Notamacropus eugenii: one gene and its partner. The protein of the gene in region 2 interacts with the protein of the main gene of each other region in a biochemical or structural test. Links are inferred from orthologs where the notes say so. Each region holds a gene or a part of one and is shown on either strand. Other genes may lie near its edges.

Region 1 (10,829 bases), on a different chromosome or scaffold from region 2:
AAGCCAGGGAGGTCAGTAAAGGGTCTGTGAAACTCTCTGAGGTGGAGAACGTCCAATATTTGGTTTGTTTTTAATTCTTTTCCCAGAGATTTTGGCTTCTTCTCTTTACCCGGGGCTTGGTAGGGGTCGGGGAGGCCAGTTACTCTACCATCGCCCCCACCCTCATTGCTGACCTCTTCGTGGCTGATCAGCGCAGTCGGATGCTCAGCATCTTCTACTTTGCCATCCCTGTGGGCAGGTGAGGTTGCGGGGGTCAGGAAGTAGGAGGAACTAGGGCACTGTCTTCAGACCTGGAGAATAAGAGATAAAAAAATTAGTCTGGGTGGAGAGGCTTCATTTAGAAGAAGCTTCTGTGTGGCAGATCCTCCAATCTGTATTCCATAATCTTTTTTTCCAGTGGTCTGGGTTATATCGCAGGATCTAAAGTGAAGGATGTTGCTGATGATTGGCACTGGGCACTCAGGGTGAGTGTTCCATCAGGGATGGAGAGGGTGTACACATCATCTTTCCTGAGCCTCTTACTCACTGTTGACCCTTTTCCAAAGTTTTTCTCACCAGTGGGTATGTGTGTGTGTGTGTACATGCATGTGTGGTGTGTGCGTGCATGTGCAGTCTTGCATGTGCATGCGTGTGCACATGTGTGTACATATGTGGTCGCTGTGTATGTGGTGTGTGCGTGTGGTCTGTGTGCATGCACATGTGTGCATATGTGGTTTGTGCATGTACGGTCTGTGTGCGGGTGCACATGTGTGCATGGGTGATCTCTGTGTGTGTCCTGACGTCGGGGGGACTGTTGTCTCTCCTTAGGTCACGCCAGGCCTTGGGATGATTGCAGTGTTGCTGTTGTTTCTGGTGGTGAGGGAACCTCCACGCGGAGCTGTGGAACGCCATTCAGACACCCCTCCCTTGAACCCTACCTCCTGGTGGGCTGATCTGCGGGCTCTGACTCGGAAGTGAGTCCCAGGGACTTTTGTACAAGCCTTCACTCATACCCCTTTAGCCCTTTAAGGAGAATCTTACACACTTCCAGTAAAATGAAGTGAGAGTTCATCCTGTGTACGCTTTGGTTCTCCTCTGTGGGAAGCGTGAGCCATGAAACCTTAGTACCCATCTCCACCTAGTGGCTGGACAGCTAAATTACAGTCCAGGTATTGGAGGAGAAATGGACCACTTCATCTTCTGTCTCCTTGCCTAATAAGGGTAAATGCTGCTCATACCAAATGGTTGCCTGTCAACTTTTACCATCCTTTTGTTCTCTCTCACTCCCCTAAATTAACTTTTGCCCTTGCCCTAAGTGTTGTTGAGAGATAGGAGATGATTGTTTTGAACTCTCACCTTCTCTCTTCTGCTACAGTCCCAGTTTTGTGTTCTCTTCCTTGGGATTCACGGCTGTGGCCTTTGTCACGGGGTCCCTGGCACTGTGGGCACCAGCATTCCTACTCCGTGCTCGAGTAGTCTTAGGAGAGACCCCACCTTGCCTCCCTGGAGATTCCTGCTCCTCTTCAGACAGGTACTGGGAATGCTTCTCAGAGTGGGGAGGGGATATGGAAAGGGGCTCTGGGTTTATGTTTTTCCTCAGTGAGTCAACAACTTGGCAGAATAAATGGCCCTTCTTCCTTCCCCTCTAAAAACTCTTATTTTGTGGGCTGATATCTATATGGTAGCTAGGTAAAACGGGACAAGAAGGAGCAGATGTCAGATTCAGGGATCCAGGCTCACAGTGGCCAAAGAAGGGAGACATTAGCGACAAGCTGTTGCAGGGTTTTGAGCTTGGGGAGCCAGGTAGTCTCTGGGACCAGGAAGGTTCAAGAAACTCATTGAGAAATCCAGTTGGGGTTTTGAGAAAATCAGAGGTTTAGAAAGCAGGAGACTGTATGAGAGAGTGGAAGGAAACATGAATTTGGAACAGCTGAGTTCAGGTCTTTTCAAATGTTTTCCATGTGACCTTTGGCCAGTCACTTCTTTTAGCCTGAGTGTCCTCCTCCATAGAATGAGGATGAACTGCCCATTTCACAGGGTCAGCCTCGAAAGCCCTATGGAAATGACATTTACTAGTGAAAGATAAAAGTCCTGGAGCCAAAAACCAGGGTCCCCATGGGCTGGGTTCAGGGAGGAGCCACAGTTTCCAGAAGCTGGTACCAGCCAGGGCAGGAGCTCTTGCTCATACCTGGTGTCAGCAGCATCTCAGCTTTTAGGCCCAATTCTGCTAGAGAAGGACAATGAATTTTGGAAAACACAGACTTTTCACGCAAACATGGCAGACTTGGGCCCGTTGCTTCCCTCAGTCTTCTTTTTTTCTCCTTCCCAGTCTCATCTTTGGACTGATCACCTGTGTGACTGGGATTCTGGGTGTGGCCTCTGGTGTAGAGATCAGCCGCCGTCTTCGCCGCACCAACCCCAGGGCTGACCCTTTGGTTTGTGCAGCTGGATTGTTGGGATCTGCCCCTTTTCTGTTTCTGGCCCTGGCTTGTGCCCAGGACAGCATTGTAGTTACCTATGTGAGTGTCCTCAATTTTTCCCCATTTGCAGATGCTAACCAGCCCCCCACATACAGAGCACAGGCACAGCTCTCCCAGTAGCAGCCTTGAGCTTGAGTGGGCGGGCAGGTGGGTGAGAGTAGGTGGAGGTGGAAGGGTTGGGGGGGAAACAAAACTCGTGGTCCCCAGCTTCAATCCTACAGCTCCCCAACATGGCTCAAGAAAAAGTAGAGGGAAGGGCAGAAAGCTGCTGATCTTTCCAGGGTTACTCCCTGATGTCCATTTTCTCTCTTCAGGTTTTCATCTTCATTGGAGAGATTCTGCTGTCCATGAACTGGGCCATTGTAGCAGACATTTTGCTGGTGAGAGGGTGGGCCGTCTCTGACCTCGCACAGGTCCTAGTGATTAGCACCTTGGCTAGTGAGAGCTTGATAAGGCTTTTGTTCCCCTGGGTCAGTGGCTTTGTTTTGTCATAAGAAACTGATCCATGATTCCATCTTGCTCTCACTTGTGGACTATTGGTTGCTACCTGAGTGTGGGTGCCCCAGTGGAGGCCGTCTCCACTTTTGGGACAGAACTTGAAACTTCCAGGGGGTTAGGAATTTCACTTATCATATAAGGAAGGTAGCCGTTCTCTTCTGTCTCCCTCCATGTAGTTTGGGCTGAATAACTTAATTCAGAAAGTGTTGATAGAATTCGAAGCTTAGCCCTCTCTCTTCTGGCTTTCTCAGCTCCCTTTACTCCTTGGGGAATCTAACTTTGGGTCTCAATTCCCTACCTAGTATGTGGTTATTCCGACACGCCGGTCAACAGCAGAGGCCTTTCAGATTGTCCTGTCCCATCTGTTGGGGGATGCTGGAAGCCCCTACCTCATTGGGCTGGTGAGTGTGAATCTTCTTTTGGAAGGCTTTAGCCTTGGCTGGGTCATCCTGGCCCAGGGCAGGTTAGGAAGCAGTGAGAATGGGGTAGGGAAGGAGAGAGAGTCTTTGTCAGCCAGGAGAGTTTGTCTGATTTCAGCAACCACTGATGTATTTAGCACTGTCCTGAGAGAGGAAGAGCCATCATGGGGAAGGGAGATGATACTTGTTCTTAACTCGGGGAGGCAGATTTTTGTTGGGGAAAGAGAAAGCTTTCAGAAAGTGGAATGCGCTGCCTTGTAACAAGGTGGTGAACTCCTCATCCTTGGGCTTCTTCAAGTGAAGGCTAGATGACCACTTGTTAGGAAAGTTTGTGGGTAGAGTCGTGTGATCCAGGATGTTTCAGGTCTTCTCTGTGTAATCAATGAGATCCTTTCCAATTCTGATTCTCTGATTTGGAGGGAGAAGACAGTGTAGTCCTGGGTCTAGAGCTTTTGTAGGGAAACAAGGGGCATCAAACTAGAGAACAGTTCAAGGCAGCATTTGAACAGATATGGGATTGTGAGGTGCAAGCAAAGCTGATAATCTGACTGTCTCCTTCTCTGTTCCCCTTTGTCCTGCTTCCTCCGTCTCTGACTCCCTCCGTCCCCCTTTAGCACAAAGTCATCTTAGCCCCTTAGCCCTCCTCACCTACCCAGGATATGACCGCTGTCTGCTCTCTTTTGTCCCCTCTAGATATCTGACCGTCTCCGCCGTAACTGGCCCCCTTCCTTCCTCTCCCAGTTCCGGGCCCTGCAGTACTCCCTCATGCTTTGTGCCTTTGTCGGGGTTCTTGGGGGTGCAGCTTTCCTGGGCACTGCCATGTACATTGAAGGTGATCGAAAGAGAGCCCAGCTCCATGTGCAAGGTGAGCTTTCCCCACTGGCGGCCTTGTCCCAGGGCTCCTTGTCTATGTCCCCAGCTCTCCCTTCCCCAGATTCCGTCTATCATCCGCCTTCCTCTTTCTCCCCCTAACCTCCTCACCCCTCCTTGTCTTTCTGCCCATTTGTACCTTCCCAGTCCTCCCTTCCACTGGGGTGCCTGTGTCCCCTCCCTGTAGGCCTATCTCCATCTCTTGCCCTGTGCTTCTCTCTGAGATGTTCATCTTCCCCTGGTCTCATCACTTCTTCTCTCTCCCCAGGCCTCCTGAGGGACATGCCCTCTCCAGACGATCGGATTGTGGTCCCTCAGCGTGGTCGTTCTACCAAGGTCCCGGTGTCCAGTGTACTCATCTGATTGGGTGGACTATGGCCTGAGGCCACCTTGTGTCTGGTTCCCCTCAGGGGGATAAGTGGGTGGTGGGTGGTGGGCAAGACTCTGAGTTTAACCCCAGCACCCTGAACTGTTATGCCAGCTCTGTGGCTGGTGTGGTATCATGACCTCTGACCTGGAACCACAGGAATGGGGCAGTCACTGAGGTTTGTCCCTTTTTCTCTCCCTGTACACACGCACACATAGATGCATTATATGCACAGCAATAGGGTTCAGGGACAGATTTCCTGATCAGGGAGGGGGCAGGTGGTTGGAAGGCCACAGAGCAGGTGCTCTCAACTTTCTGCAGGTCCATTTGGGGAGGAAAGATCTTTTTTCTCTCTGCCTGTCACGCTATAGGTGGGTTCCAAGCTGCCTTCCTGGGGTCAGGGGCAAGGTGCCCCCACCATCCAGGCAGGAGGGTTTGGTGCTATTTTTATCTGAATAAACTTTGTAACCAGAGCCTAGCGTCAGCTTGTGTCCTTTTCCCTCCCAGCTCCAAGACTCGAGAGAAGGGGAGGAGCCCTGTGTGGTGGCACGCTGATTCTGACTTTGCTAAGGGTTCTGTGTATGTTAGCGTTAGAACGTGGGGTAGTCTGTTTTAGGAGCCCTTCCTGCCACAGGAGTCTAGAGTACGTGCTTTGAGGGCCCTCCCTGCTCTAGCCGTCTGGAATTCAGACGTCTGGTCCAGTGTGACACTGACTCACCCACTGTCTTTTCCTAATAGACACTTTAGAAGCTTGTCCTCTCGCTGTCCGACAGGCAGTCCAGCCACTGGGGATGATAATATAGTAGTTCTCCTGTTCTTCTACCCCCTGGATGATAGAAAGGATGTCAGAGATCCTTTGTCCAACCCACTCTTTATAAAGATGGAAATTGAGTCTGAGAGAGGTTAAAAGTTCCATTCTCTTCTTTTCCTCGGTTCTCTGCCCTCCCCATTAGTGTATCGTTTCTTGCATGAACAGGACCCTCTTTGGGGAACATATGGCCCTGACTTAATCTATGGTACTAAGTAACCCTAATCATCCAGAAGGACCCTTTGAGAACAGCTGGGAATTCTTGGTTACCAAGGCCCCTGAGAGACCATCCCAAGTAGGATTACTGGGCTGGGGCAATGGGGGAGATCTAGAGTGCTCCCCTCCCCCTGGGGGGCACAAGGATGGGGGTGGGAGGCGGGCGCAGCCATGCAAGGAGCCACTATAACTTCCTGTCCCCGCCCGGAGCTCACCACAGCTTCCTGCTGCGGGCGGGCAGGCGCTGAGTGGAGGAGAAGAGATCGGGGAACAGAACCGTCGGGACCAGGGACCAGGTATGGGGACGTGGAGGGAGTGGAGTGGGTTTATGGTGCCCAAACAGGACCCTCCCCACCCCAGCCAATCTGTCCAGCTCCCAGTAGGCTAGTAAGGCTCAGCAGAGACCATGGTGAATTTAAGCTTGTGTTCCATATCCACCCTAACCCTATGAGAGCTTAAGAGGTAGACAGAGCCTCCTACTTGGTCCTTATTTGCCTGTATTATCTCTCAATGCCAATCTGAGCCCCTCTGATACAGAGACAACTGGCTGAGCCCCCTGCCTCCCTTTGACACCACACTGAATACCTGGCTTCCTGGGCCTCGAGACTAGAACCACTGGTCTCTTCTGGCCTCCATCCCTTATGGCCTGTCTTTTGTGACACCGTTACCTACTGAGGGCTTAGATGTTCTCTTCCCCCAAATCTTTTAACTCTTCATTTCTACTCATTGTCTTGGGAGTAAAGTTTGGGATCTGAGCAGAGAATTCTTGCTCTGTCCAGTCAAGTGGGAAGGGGAATGGATGAGGGTGGGGTATGGTTGGAAGGCTTTCTGGACTGGCCTTCCAGGTTGCCCTAACCTGTGGGTCTTGGCCTGTGCCCCAGATGGAGACCACCTCTCTGGGTCCTAGCCTCCTCTGGCTCCTCATTCTACTGTTCCCAGCCCTGCTTGTCACTGCCCTGTGTTTGTGTTGTCGGGACCTCCCTGGTAAGTGAAATACTTTTAAGTTCATCTCTAACTTGAAGGCCCCTAGACCCAGTCAACCTTGTAAACTATCTCTTCACCTTGCACAAAGGATCCTATGTTCCCATATTCACAAATTCATCCACTGTCCCTCTTACGGCGTCACCTCTCCCTTGTTCCTTACCCTAGCCTAAAGTAACTCCTGTTCCTGTCCCATCCCTTCAGCCTCACCTGCCTCCTCCCCCACAGGCCCCAACTTGGAGGTCCCCACAAGTGGTAGGTGAGTGTCTGACTATTCCTCATTCCCAAATGGTGGCTATGATGGACCAGTGTTGGAAGGAGGGGAGCTAGCTGAGGAGGGGCTGTTTGGTGAGAAAACATTGGGGCAGTGGCTGGAGGTGGGTGTGGAAGTACAAGGCCTTGTCTTCTACAACCCCCAGCCCATGCCTTCCTTCTTTCCACTAGAGATCCGCCAGTCACTGGATTAGTCATCCTCAAACGCCCCTGTGAGTATGGCAGGAGGTCTCAGTACACTATATTTCCCTGGGACTGCTTTGAGAAATAAGGGAATGAAGTCTTGGGGGAGAGTCACTGTGTGAGTGGGTATGTGTCTGTGCGTCAGAAAGGGAGAATTTGAAAGGTATGGCTTCTGTTATGTGTCTGCATTGTTCCCAGTCTCCTGCCCTTGAAATGTCTACCACAACCTTTGACCCACAGCATCCTTGAATTTAGAGCTGGAGGATGTTTCAGAGATTTATCCAGTCTGACTTCATTTTACAGAAGATCAAACTGAGGCACAAGTTTGGGGGACAGGAAGATGGGACCCCGGAGGAAGGGGATAAATTGCTTGAGGTCATAGAGCTAAGCCCAGTTCTTTGTCCCTTCTGTAAGCCCAGCTCCAATGCAAAGTGACCCTTTAAGGCAGGGGTTTTTTACTTTTTTTGTGCTATGGCCTCATGTCCCCTCTGTTGGAACCTGTGGACCCCTTCTCAGAATAATAGTGTGTTCTAAAGAAATGCTCAATTTCAGTTAGAATTAGTGAAGATAAAGATGTAACTTTTTCCATCCCAGTTTGTGGAGCCCCTGAAGTGTATCCACAGACCACATGTTAAGAACCTTTGCTTTGAGACTCATTAAGACTAGACTCTTTAGACACTGAGATGTTCAGCCTCCTGATAGCTCCAAGAGGACAAGGACTGTTTCTCCTCTTTGTGTTTCTTCCCATCCCAAGCTGTGCAGGCACAGAGGGGACTGCTTAATGAAGTAGTTCATGGAATTGAATTACCCGATCACAAACCACTTAGTGCAGTTCCATAAGCATTTAATCAAATGCCTACATTTAATCAAATGTGGCAGGATCTCTAGGCCTCCTGATCTATATCTTGCCCCTGGACCCAGATGACTCTGGAGGAGAAAGTGAGGTTGGTGACTTCGCACAGCCCTCTTTCACTTAAATCCAGTTCACTTGCAAGTCATGTCATCACCTTCTTGATGTCGTGGTCCTCTTTGAGAAAGAAGGACAGATAACCTGTGAATAATCTGATCTGCCCGAACTCAACTGGCTAGTTCCAGTTGGGCAATGCAGCTCTTCCTTCTTCCCTTCTTTCCTCCCTCCCCCCTCCCTCCTCTCCTTCCCCCCTCCCTCCTCTCCCTTCCTTCCTCCCTCCCTCCCTCCCTCCTTCCTTCCTTCCTTCCTTCCTTCCTTCCTTCCTTCCTTCCTTCCTTCCTTCCTTCCTTCCTTCCTTCCTTCCCTCCCTCCCTCCCTCCCTCTCTCCCTCCTTCTCTTTTCTCCTTCCTCTCTCTCTGCCCACATAAGGTATCATAATCTTATGGTACTTTACCCAAAAAGTAGAAATTTTTAGGGCTGAAACGTAGCAAGATATTTTGTGGTTTATGAGCTAGATTTTTTTCTCAAAGACCATGCCTTAAACCCAATTCACTTTGGCTGTCATTGATTGGCCAACAATAGATCCCAGCCCAAGCCCCACTTAGTGGTCACTATTGAAGCCCTGATGGCTCAGAGTGAATGTAAATATTAATTGTTTCTCTTCTGGTCAGGAGCCCTGATTTTTCTTTCATTACTTGGCTCATTTCTTACCCTGCCTTACTTGTTGAATGGGTGTCACCTCAGTCAAAGTGAGAATTTGGAAAGACCTGAACTTAAAAAGGCCAGGGTCTCCCGCTGCATCCAGGGCCGTCTCCAGTCGTCCTGATCTATATCCGACTACTGAATCTAGGTGACTCAGGAGGACAAAGTGAGGCTGGTAACTGTACAGCCCTCCCTCACTTAAATCCAGTTCTCTAACAGGTCATGGCATCACTTCCCTGATATCATGGTCTTTTTCGAGATCAAAGGACACACACCAACTCTGTGGCAGGCCTCTGTGTTAGACGTATAAAGACAAAAAAGATAGTTCTTGCTTACAAGGAGTTCACATTCTCCTGGGCACATGGTGGTGGGAATTACATGTTCACAGATGAATGAATGCCAAGTAATTTAAGGAGAGGTGAGTACTAATGCCTGAGAGGGGTGAGGAAGGGCTTCTTGTAGAAGGTACGTGAGTTGAGTCTTGAAGGGAGTCACGTCCCCAGGAAGCCATTACTTTCTAGTGACTCATGCCATACTACCCCCACATGTGGCCTGCACCTCCTCCTTTATTAGTTTGGGAAAAGGAATAAGGAGATGTAGAGAAATAGGGCTCCCACAAATCAGACAGGATTAGGAAATTTGGGAGATGACAGGTTAATAACTTTTACAACTCTACACGTGCTTTTTGCTCTTGCTGACGGTATTTTTTGCCATATTTGTTCAACCTGGTATTTTAAAAATTAACTTTAGCCGTGTTGTGTCCTATTGAATTTCCATTGTATAGGTTGGGGCGGGGGGGGGGGGGGGGGGGGGGGAGGATATTTCCCTCACTAAGGCCAGGAGAGCTGGAGAATTTCACCTCTCCCAAGGAGGAATTTGGCAAAAACTACTAAATGATCACAGTAGACTTAAGTGGAAATATCTGTAGGAAGGATGGGCTTTGAGAGCTCACCCTGTTACCTATTAGCTGACCTTGGACAGGCCCTTCTCTGTAAAGTGAGGTAATTAAGCCAAACTTGAACTCTGAAATTTCTCTTACAGATTTAAATTCTGTGATCCTGCACTGTAGATAGATGTGAAGGGCTTTCAGAAACAATTGCATGTAATAATATTTTAAAAATATATTAAAAATAACATCAGATAAATAATAAAATAAGTAAAAATTAAAATATTAAAAATTATATTTTTTCTAAAAGGAAGAAGCAATAGAACCTCCCCTTATGTGTCCTATCCCTGAAATGTCCTCCTTTCCTCTCTTCACGTACCGAATTCCTGCCATCTTTTTTTTAAGCCCCCACCCCCGTATCTGGGAAGCTCCCCCCTCCCCCAGTCAATAACTTTCTCCCTCTGACCTCCTATCCCGTTGTTTTGTCAACTCTCTGATACATTTCTCATGTAATATTGTGAATGCTAGCCATCTGTTCTTGTGTCTTCTCCCTTACTGGGTTTTAGGTTCCATGAGAGGGCTATGGGCCATGTCTGCTAAATTTTGTTCATGGTGCTTTTAGCCCAGTGTTCTGTATGTTCTGGATGTAGTGAGCACTTCATTAATGTTTGTTGAATGAATAATGAACTTGTCTAAGAGACCCCTCAGTCCCCAGTCCCCTTGGATCTTGAATTTCTTGAAGAAAATGTCCTTTTAGGCACTGAGGGCCACATTGAGGGTCCTCTGCCTCTCCTTGGTGCTCTCAGCCCTGTCCTGATTCCTTCCCCCTACCCCAGGTCCTCTGATGCCATGTACCCCTAATCTTTACCCCACAGACACTAATGTTACGTTTCCATCTACAATACCCAGCCAGCCAGAGGTGCTGCTCCCTATCCCGTAAGTATCTACCCTTTTTTCCCAGTCACCCCAGTCTAACCTGAAGTCTGGGGTCTCTGCCTTCTTACTGTCTGGCCTTCTTTGAATCCTGGACTGTCTAAATCATCGCCCTCAGTCTTCTGTCTTCCTACCTTCCTGTCTCCCCTGAGCCAAGGCATCACTACTCCTCCCACTCCTTTGGCCTCTCAAAGATCCCTCCATTCTTCAAGGGGTGACCCCTAATTTTTAACCCTTTAGGAATTCTCCACGACATCCAGTGTTGTCACGTGAGATTACTTCTCGACGAGATCCAGACACCCGTGAGTTGGACAATGAGCTAGT
Region 2 (10,916 bases):
AGGATGGAGGGAAATATAGTTAGTCTTTCACAATATGACTGTTATGGAAGTGTTTTACATAACTACAAATGTATAACTTACATTGAATTGCTTGCCTTCTCAGTGGGGATGGGTGAAGAGGGAGGAAGAGAGAGTAGTTGGAACTCAAAGTTTTAAAAACAAATGTTAGAAATTGTTTTTACATGCAATTGGGAAATAAGACATACAGGCAATGGGGTATAGAAATCTATCTTTCCCTACAAGAAAATAGAGGGAATGGGGATAAGAGAAGGGAGAGGTGTGATAGTAGGGAGGACAGATTGGGGGAAGGGATAATCAGAATGCACACTGTCTTGGGGTGGTCAGAGGGGAGAAATGGGGGAGAAAATTTGTAACTCAAAATCTTGTGGAAGTGTCCATTGAAAACTAAAAATAAACACAAAAAATTTAAAAAAATAAATTACAAAGAACCACCCCACAAAAGTCCCATATAAGTGCCAGCTCTTATTATATTTGTTATTAACTTGTTCTCATCTCTTTCAATAATCTCCCAATCACCCACAAATGTTCTACTTCCTTGATCAAGAATGCTGAAATAGTGCTGATTTCAGCAGCACATGTACTACAATTGGAACTTACAAAGATTAGCATGGTTCCTTCTCAGAGACAACACACAAAATTGTGAAGCATTCCATATTTAAAGAATGCTGAAGTTATTTCGTCAGAAGCCTAAGTTTCTCTTATTCCCTCTCTTCCTAGATCTTACTCCTCTTAAACCTCTTCGTCTTCTTCACGGTGACCTTTAATCCATCTACCCCATATTGACCCTTCTTTCAAAGCCCCCAATTATTGTACAGGGCCCTCTAATCCTTTCAGGTTCCTGGTTTCAAAATCTCCAAGTTATCCTCATCTCCTGACTCTTATTCACTCATATGGGCCTATTTACACTCTTTACGTACTATCTTCCATTTCCTATCTCTGCAGTTTTGCACTGGCTCATTTCTGGAATGCTCTACCTCCTTGTCTCTGCTTCTTGAAATCCTACTTTCCTTCAAGATTCAACACAAGTACACCCTTCTACAAGAGATTTTTCTTGTCCTGTACATATATGTGTGTGTATCTGTATACATACACATATGAACGCATGCATTCATATATGTTTATGTACACATACACATGTGTGTTCTAACTTGTGACACCAGGCATATTTCTATACACATACAGATACATATGTGATATACATATATATATATATGGAAAAAGAGAGAGAGAGAGAGAGATGTGTCTGGTGTCTTATCAGTTAGAAGTTTCTTGATGACAAAGGGACATTTTTGTATTTTGCGTGCACTATTTCTGTCTTTTTATCCTGAGATATCTATCCCTTTCCAAAGATGGGGTTAAAATCACACACATACCTTTTTTTTTTAACCTCTCCTACCTTAACTAAGTAAAAAATAGTTTTAGATGGAATCCAACACTAAGAATTGAAGAACAGGGCCTGTACACCTCCTTGAATCAATCAAAGGCATAGCATGAAAGAACCAAGCAATTCATAACAAAAGAAAGAGGCTCTCTTAGAACAATTTTCTATCTCTACTAGTTTATTCATTGAATTCTCAAGGATATTTTGGGATCCGTATTTGTAATACAGAGGCTTATTATTGATATACAAAGGATAGGAAGCTTCTAGTATTCTGACCACCTGTTCATGTCTCTTTGCAGATATTCAATAGATATTAACCTGCAAACCAGAGTGAAATGTTGGGAATTTCCTACTATTTCCTTACATAATCTGCTCCCTGAAAATCTGGGCTATAATAAATGAGCTTTTCCCTCATCTTGTCCTGAGCTCGGCGTCCAAACAGTTCCCAACCATGACATTCCCATCCCCACACCACCCTTTTCCTTTTCCAGTTATTCTTTATGTGTTTTCTTTCCTCATTAAAATATCTCTTTTCTTCCCTCATTAAAATATCTCCTTCAAGGAGATTCCCTTGAAGGCAGGACAGGAACTCTCTTATTTGTTTGTATTTGTATGACCAGCACTTAGTACAGTACCTGGCACATCAGTAATTGCATATCTACTTTTGTTCCAACTACCTAGCAACCTGTCTGTCTGTCTGTCTCTTTCCCTCCTTTTTGCCCCCTTTTCCTCCCTATTTATCCATCCATCCATCAATCTGTCTCTATATCCATATCTCTCTATCTATCTATCATCTACCTAAGTCTGACTTTTCTGTGCTTTCTGGGGGCAATGACCTGGTCCTACATTACTACCATAAACCCCTCCATTCCATCAAGCAAATCTGTCCAGCTTGGTCATTTCTTTAAGGCTTATTTGTCAATATAAGTTCACATGGATGTTACCCATAGATGGCCCTTTGATTCTCCTTTTAGATTTTAGCCCTTTCAGAGACTCCATCCAACCAATATTGGCCACAGTTGATAATTACAGCAACGTGTCCTTATTGTCTACCTTTACTACTTACTGTTCTGTGAAGTGATATCTGTCTATATCAATCAATTAAGTACCTACTATGTGCCAAGCACTATGCTAAATGCAGGGGAGTATACAAAGAGGCAAGGAACTTTCAAGGAACTTACAATCTAATATATGTTCTAGAAGAATTTCTAAGCATTGTAGCCTGTTTATGATGTGCTCTGAGAACATCTATGAATCTTTTTCCACCTTTTAGATTATTATTATTGTGAGAGGAAAGAGGAAGAAAAGGAGGAGGGGAAGCTAAGGGATACAAAGGCCCATTCCAAAGACTAAGAACAGACCTAGGGACACAGGAAAAAGCGCCCCTTTCATCCATGTGAAAAGGAGTAGAGTGAGGAGGGATTCTCTCTGGTCCAGGCTCATCTCCCTCTAGGCAAGAGACTATAAAAACAGTATGCAAGGCCTTCCTCAATTTCTAGATCTGGAATTACTACAGGTCCCCAGTGGGAACTGTTAGCTGACAGTGGTGGGGAACCTACGGCCTCGAGGCCACATGTGGCCCTCTAGGTCTTCAAGTGCGGCCCTTTGACTGAATCCAAACTTTCTGAAGTCTGGATTCAATCAAAGGGCCTCTCTTGAGGACTTATAAGGTCACATGTGGCCTCAAGGCCACAGTTTCCCCACCGTTGTGCTAGCACCATCATTCTCACCCCTGAGTACTAATGTGAGATGTTATAAATGTCATTACCACTGGACCGTCATTATCACCACTATCTGGCCCAGTCTGTACCCTTAACACCCCTAAAAGGGTTCAGCCTGGCACAGGGAAATTACTTACTTGATGGTGTCTAGGCTGGAGCAGAACTGACAAAGGGTGAGAGGCTTTCCAGTTCCTTCCCACAAGGAGAAATGGTCCTAAATGCAGAGTTGGAAAGTGAGAAACGAATTCATACAGGCCTCTGTCTTGATGTCCCAACCCTTGATGTCCCAAATGTCCCAACACTCCTCCCAGTCCTACTGTCTGGTCAAATTCCAGCTTAATCATAGCCTCCCTCTTCTATCTGATCATCCCCCTGACTCACCCAATCTGACCACCCTCAGTTCCCTCCTCTGAGCATTCAGTTTGTCTCCTGACTCCCTAGTCTGACCATATCCGAAACTCCTGGGTCTAACTTACTTTTGAAGTCCCAGTGTGACTATCTCTTGAACTGCTGGTCTAATAATACTCTGACCCGTCCATCTGACTCCCCTAGACTCTTTAGTTTGACCTATCATGACCTCCTCCCAGTCTAACTGTTCTCTGTCTTCCCAATGTGACCACACCAAATGACCCCAGCTTGACCATGCTTTAAACTGTCTAGTTTGAATATGCCCCAATCTCCAGTCCAGTTATCCCTTTGACTCCATGGTCTGATCATCTGCTTATCCCCAGTCTCTCTCCCAAGGCCTCAGTCTGACCATTCCAAGAACTTCTAGGCTAACCATCTTCCAGATCTCAACCCCCTAGCTTGGCCATTCCTGAAATACTCAATCTATCATTCCTGTGACCCAGCATTTGCTTGTCCCTTTGCCATATCTAGTCTATCGATGGCTTTGTTCTCTAGTTTGACTATCCCTAAATCTATCCCTTAAATTCACCAATCCCTAACCCCTAGTTTGACTGCTCCCTGACCATTTCCTGACATCCCTGCTTACAGTACACAAAGAGCTAGAGGAATGGCTGGTCCACCACTCTGACACCCTGGGCTGGGGAATTCTGGGCCTTGGGAAAGATAACCTCCCTTCCACAAAATACTGGTTAGCACCCAATGTTTTTTTCTTTCTCTTTCTTGCTTGGGGACCATGAGGCTGAGTGGCTCAAGGCTGAGGCATGATCCCTGAGTTATGGGAAAAAGGAGTCATCATTATGACTTCTAGTGAGTATGGGCCAGCTCTCTCCTAACTCCCAGAGCATCCCTATCCTTCTCAGTCTAGGACAGCAGCCAGAACCAGGAATCAGAAATAAGGAAAAGGCTTACCTGTGGAGGTTCAGGAGGCGCTAGGCCCAAGGAACCAGGCTTTCTTGGCTCCCTCAGTCTTCTTCAGTCTCTTGGAGGGCCAAGTTCCATGGAGGGAAAGGCTACCCTGGGTTCCAGGGTCTCAGGGTGGGGAAGGCAGTTAGCGGACAGGGTCTAGGCCCAGCCACCACTGGCTCTAGCTACCACCCTCTGTCAACGAATCTGTTTGTCAACTGGTTTCTCTGAAATGTGACCTATTTCCGTGATAAGGAAGACAGGAAAGAAAAGACGACAGAAAGAGAAAACCACCCACCCAGATGTGGAGGGAGCAACTAGGCCTTTGAAGGTTACGTCAAAGTCACAAACTGCTGTGTATGGAGGAAAATCTTCAAACTGGGGGCAGGCAGGAGTTCCTGGGCCTCAGACCCAGAGGTTGCCTCAGGGACGGTCTCTTATTACATGGTCCCTAGCATCCTACATCTAAAGCTATAAGGGACCCCATCTTTTACAACAGAAGAGGGGGAAGTGACTGACCCAAGGTCATCACAGAGGGTCAGCTCTTCCGACTCTAGAATAAGCTTTCATAACATTTCTCATGTCCTGGTTCCCTTCAGCAGTCAGTCTGCTAAAGCCCATGGACCCTTCTCAGAGTCACATTCTTAAATACATAGAATAAAATACATAAGATAAAGAAGGAAACCAATTGTATTGAAGCACAGTTCGAAAAATATTTTTACAAAGTCAAATCCACAGAGCCCAGGTGAAAAATCCCTGCTTAGAACCAGGGTTATTTATACTATATCATATCATACTGCCTCCTTTAGGTAGGGCGAGAACTCAGCCTCCCTGTGTCCCAAGTCCTCTCCCCCGACCCATGGTTACATCAATAACCAAAGGAAAGGGGGCACCCAGAGCTCATAGCAGCACTAAAGCCCACTAGCCACCAAAGATTCCAGCCTTCCTCCAAGGAAGGCACATCTGTATCCATTGAAGGCCACACTGCCTTCAGCCAGTTGGCTCCTAGCTGGGGAAAACCTTTTACAAAACTTCAACGGGCTTAAATCCACAGCTGGTGCACCATCACCAGCCCCCAGCTAGGCCCCATTTTAGAGCAGAATATTATTGATGAAATTTCCCCAAACTTACTAGAGACCAGGTTCTGAAGGACCTTACCACTGGGACCAAACTTGTCCTGGAACCATGGAATGTTGGGGCTGAAAGGGACTTTAGGGATCCTCCAGTCTAATCCCTGACCTTTCCTTTTTATAGAAGAGGAAACTAAAGTCAGAGAGAAGGAGGGAGCTCTTGTCCAAGGTTACAGAGCAAGGCCTGGAGAGCCTGGCTCAGGTCCGGGGGCTCTCTCTGCTATGGCTACTGACCAAGGGTCTTCTTAAATCCCTGTGAAAGAAGTGTTCTTAACTTACAGTCCTGGATAGATTTCAAGGGATCTTTAAATTTGTTTTTTTTTATAAATGACACAGTTTATTTTAACCACCCACTAACTGAAATTTAGCATTTCCTTAAATTATTTGAAAACCTTATTCTGAGAAGAGGCCCATACCCTTCACCAGGTTGACTGCCAAGGGGTCCAGGGCACAAAAACATTTAAGGACCTGTTTTCTAACAGGATCAAAGATGTTGACCTAAAAGTGGCCTTGGGAATCATCTACTCCAACCACCCTATTTTTTAGAGAAACTGAGGCTCCCAATGCTTGTGACAATAAACAGAAGACAGATTTGAATTCATGTCCCAGGATTCCAAGTCCCACAATCTCTTTGGTGCATCCACAGTACTTTGTAGGCAGCATGGGGCTCCCCTCTTACCTTGTCCCAACTCTAAGCCCATCCCATCCTTTGGGATACTCCAGATTCCTCAGATTCTAATTGCCCAGTATGAACAAGCTTCATCTTCCTTTGATCCTCCTAATATTGTGGTTGTTCAAACATTTTTCAGTTGTGTTCAAATCTTCATGACCCCATTTGGGATTTTTTTGACAAAGATACTAGAGTGGTTTGTCATTTCCTTCTCCAGCTCATTTTACAGATGAGGAAACTGAGGCAAATAGGGTAAAGTGACTTGTCCAGGGTTGCATAGCTAGTAAGTGTTTGAGGCAGGAACTCAGGAATTGAACCCAAGAATCCACCACCTACCTAGATACACCTAATGTCTCCAATTCAGTTCTTTGCTGGCTTTGTCCCATTCCCAAATGACTCAAAGTATAACTGCCCACTCCCATGGGAAGTACCCTAAGATGTGCAGATCAGGGGGCTCCCCTGATCATCCTTGTTTGTTACAAGATAAATAAGGTATCTTCTTCCTCCAGTTCCTCATTGATACCACCACTCCATTTCATTTCATTAGTTGAATTCTTTATTAAACAATTCAATTTATTCAATAACTGCCATGTACCAAGCACGTAGTTTATGTGGAATACTAGAATACAAAGATAAAACAATCTGTGCTTTCTAGGAGCTTAAGGTCTGAGGTAGGATTAAGGGAAGGAGATGTCATGTACATGGAGAAAAATGATTTAAAAGTCTATTCAGTTTTGATTCATTAAACATCTATTAAGTTCTTACAATGTACAAAATAAGAGGCTTTCAGGACAAGGAGCATCCTTGGAGTTAGGCTGACCTGGGTTGAAGCCCTATCTCTGGCACATACTAACTGTGTGACTGAAGACAAGTCACTTAACCTCTGTGCCTCAGTTTCCTTGCCTATAAAATGAAGAGATTGGAATCAAAGACCCCTGCCAGTTCTAAATCTATGGTCCTATTATCCTATGATACAGACCATATGAGTGACCCTGGGCCAGTCACATAATCTCTCAACACTCTAACTTTGAGGTTTCACCTCACATCCAGCAAACTGCTAAGCTCTTTGACGGGAACAGTCAAGATCAGAAAGCTTGTGGAAAAATAGGCACATTCATGTGTTCTTGGTAGAGATACGAGTTGTATAAGCAGTTTAGAAAGAAATTGGGAATTAAATAAATGACAAAAATAAGCCTGAGATTCCAATACTAGGCATATATCCCAAAAAAGTCATTGATAAGAAGAGAATCCCTGTATACACCAAAATATTTCTAGCAGCACTTTTCTTGGGAGCAAAGAACTGGAAACAAAATAGATGACTATCATTTGGGAAATGACTAAACAAATTGTGGTACATAAATATGATGAGATACCTTGGGTGTTATCAAACACTAGCTGTATGATCCTGGGTGAGTCACTTAACCTCTGTCTGCCTTGGCTTCCTCATCTGAAAAGTTGGATTACCAATAGGTCCTACCTCTCATGACTGTTGTGACAATCAAACGAAATAACAATTGTAAAGCACTTAGTAAAGTGCCTAGCACATAGTAGGTACTACATAAATGTGAGCTGTTATTATCATGATTGCGATTGATGATGATGATGGTGAGGATGGACAGCTAGGTGGCTCAGTAGATATAGACGGCTGGGCCTGGAGTCAGGAAGATTCATCTTCCTGAGTTCAAATCTGGCCTCAAACACCTACTAGCTATATGATCCTGGGCAAGTCACTTAACCCTGGTTGCCTCAGTTTCCTCATCTGTAAAGTGAGCTGGAGAAGAAAATGGCAAGCCATCCAGTATCTTTGCCAAGAAAACCCTAAATGGGGTCATGAAGATTCAGACTCAATTGAAAAATGACTGAACTAAAGAAGATGATGATGATTATGCAATAAGAAGAAATAAATATGGTGTGTATAGGAAAGCCTGAAAAGACTTACATGAACTGATGCAAAGGGAAGGAAGCAGAGTCCCAAAAGAAATACACAAGAAGACACATTCCTCCATTCCTTTGCAGAGGCAAGTGGTCCATGGCTGTGGAACATTACATATGTTTTCAAATATTGTTCATGGATTGATTGATTGGTTATGATGAGTTTTTTTCTATTCTATTTCTTAAAAAAATTATTTGTTGTATGAGATGGCTCTGGGAAGAAGAAGAGAGAGACAAAGGGGGAATTTTTATTGTTGTTGTTCAGTCATATTCAACTCTTTGTGATCCCATTTGGGGTTTTCTTGGCAAAGATACTGCACTGGTTTGCCTTTTCCTTTTCCAGTTCATTTTACAGATAAGGAAACAGGATTAAGTGACTTGACTAGGTCATATAGCTTGTAAGTATCTGAGGCTAGATTTAAAGTCAGGAAGATGATGAGTCTCCCTGATGCCAAGCCAGGCACTTTATTCACTGTGCCACCTAGCTTCCCAGAGGGAGAATTTTCCAGGGGGAATTTTAGATAATGTTAAACCAAAGATAACAAAAACTTATTTTTAAAAAATGAGTTGCAAATCATCACTGGTGGAGGAAGTTTTGAGTTTCTACCCTGGGGATTCCCCACTGATGAAGTCACTGGTTTGGGGGGAAAAACGTTGCCCAAAAGATTCTCTTGGGCAGTCTAGCCTCTTCTAGAATGAAGAATGAGTAACAGTATCAACATGGACCTAAGTGAAAGTCCCTGTCTTCAAAGAGCTTACATCCTACTGGGGGGTGGAGTGGAAGTACGTAACATATGCAGAAATACATACAAGTTTGAGGAAGGAGAAAGCAATAGCTATTTGGAAGAGCACAGAAGGCTTCCCACAGGAATCAGCACCTGCAGCAAGCCTTGAAAGAGATGGAGATGAAGGGGGAGTGCATTCCAGGCATTCTATGCCTGTGTCAAGTCATAGAGATGGAATGTTGGGTTTGGGGTACAGCTTAATGGTCCAGTTTGACTGGAATGTAGAGTGTGCACAAGAAAGAAATGGGAAATAAGAATGGGAAGGTAGATTACAGTAAGATTGAGGAGGGCTTTAAATGCCAGGTTGAAAAACTTGAATTCTGGAGCCACTGAAGATGTTTGAGCAGAGGAACGGTTCAACAGTAAGAGGAAGCGATCAAGGCTGCAAGGGAGTCTTTGATGAAGGATGTAGGGGAAGAATGTTAAACAGAATCAAGGTAACTACATAATTATAGTGAAATAAATTAAAAGATCAATTTTAAAAAGTTAATCTCTGAGTAATAGAAATCTCAAGAAGGTCCTGCTGAAGAGATAATGATACAAATTCCCTCACTCATGACAGAGAGATAGGGGGACTACTAGGTTCTTGTATATATTGTCAGAAAAAACTATTTCTACATAGGATATTTTATCTTGATGTTTTTTCTTTGCTACAAGAAAGAACTCTATCCGGGGAAATGAGGTGGTAAATCACACACACACACACACACACACACACACACACACAACATCAATAAATGCTTTTTCTAAAAAGACACAATAAAACAAGGTCCCAGAGGACATGAAATACAGGGGCAGAGTAGAAGAAAGGAAATAAAGGAAGTGAGTGTTGAGGCCAAACTGAGTGAGAATGAGAGAGAAGGCAGGGTTAAGGAGTTTTCCAATGGTAATGGCAGCCTGGAAAGTCCTGAGAAGAAACATCATTGGATTTAGCAGTTAAGAGATTATGAGTAATCTTGGAGAGAGTGGTTCCAGTGAATGGGAAGACTTGGAATCCAGATTACAAAGGGTTGAAAAATGAGTGGGAGGTACAGAAATAGATGCAACAAGTATAAGCAGTTTTCCAGGTGTTTGTCAGTGAAAAAATGAAAGATACAGGACTTTAGCTTGAGGACAGGGCAGGGTCAAGTGCAGTGAAGAGAACTGAATGCATTTGCAGGCACATAGAAGGAAGCAATTGATGGGGAAAGGGGATGTTTGAAGTGAAGGTCTCCCAGCTGAGGTGTAGGATCAAGGTATAAAGACAAGGGTTGGTTTTGACCATCTCTTCCTCAGAGACTAAGACAAAGGAGAAGAAAATAAAGGATCACATAGAATGGTTTTGAGGTATGGAGTAGGGGGAAAGAGGCAGCACATGATGAATATTTGACTTTCTCAGTAAAATAAGAGATGTGCCACTCTACTGAGAGGGAGAGCTATGAGGCTTGGAGAAAGAAGAGAAATTTTGCAATAGACACCGGAGGGTTGGGGGAAGGTATGTGATAAGAAGTCAAATATGAAAGAATAAAAGGATTACTTTTACGATGATGAGCACCCAGTTGAAATCTGGTCACATGGATTTATGGTGGATCCATTTAGCACAACTACATGACTTCCTCCATCTTTTAGGAGCACGGGCATAGAATGGAAAAGGAAACATAGTGCTGGTCACGGTAGGGCAGGGCGTCAGCAGTCAGAAGGCAAAGGTTTTGATTGCAGACACCATGTTTTAAGGACATTGACCATCTAAACAGAATCCAGAAGGGCAGGACAGTGAAAGCTCTTTGAGTATTGATTGAAGGACCTCTCTGCAATTTCTGACTATTGATCCCTCTCTCTGTTAATACTTTTGTTAATGACTCTGTTAATACTCTCTTTTCTCTAGATTTTTGGAATATGAATCATTCCCAGTTTTGCTCACATCTATCTGCCCACTCATTCTCTGTCTCCTTTGCTAGATTCTCCTCCAGATCATTATTTGTGTCT

Evidence for each region.
Region 1: of the proteins of ZAP70 (region 2) and LAT, one has a biochemical effect on the other in vitro, tested with the Homo sapiens proteins (2 studies listed by BioGRID). The link is inferred for Notamacropus eugenii from reciprocal best matches to the Homo sapiens genes ZAP70 and LAT.

The regions. Positions count from the first base shown.
Region 1 is NC_092872.1:46,478,622-46,489,450, reverse strand, and holds the start of LAT (linker for activation of T-cells family member 1), read left to right. Parts: upstream 1-6,374; 5' UTR 6,375-6,449; coding exon 6,450-6,621; intron 6,622-6,822; coding exon 6,823-6,877; intron 6,878-7,062; coding exon 7,063-7,103; intron 7,104-10,447; coding exon 10,448-10,508; intron 10,509-10,745; coding exon 10,746-10,807; intron 10,808-10,829. Other genes in the region: SPNS1 (protein spinster homolog 1), read left to right, coding at 87-238, 398-464, 808-953, 1,355-1,510, 2,309-2,498, 2,774-2,839, 3,260-3,358, 4,070-4,241 and 1 more. UniProt on the Homo sapiens protein: Required for TCR (T-cell antigen receptor)- and pre-TCR-mediated signaling, both in mature T-cells and during their development.
Region 2 is NC_092875.1:51,904,406-51,915,321, forward strand, and holds the start of ZAP70 (tyrosine-protein kinase ZAP-70), read right to left. Parts: upstream 4,689-10,916; 5' UTR 4,441-4,688; intron 3,338-4,440; 5' UTR 3,261-3,337; intron 681-3,260; exon of another isoform or gene 578-680; intron 1-577. UniProt on the Homo sapiens protein: Tyrosine kinase that plays an essential role in regulation of the adaptive immune response. Regulates motility, adhesion and cytokine expression of mature T-cells, as well as thymocyte development.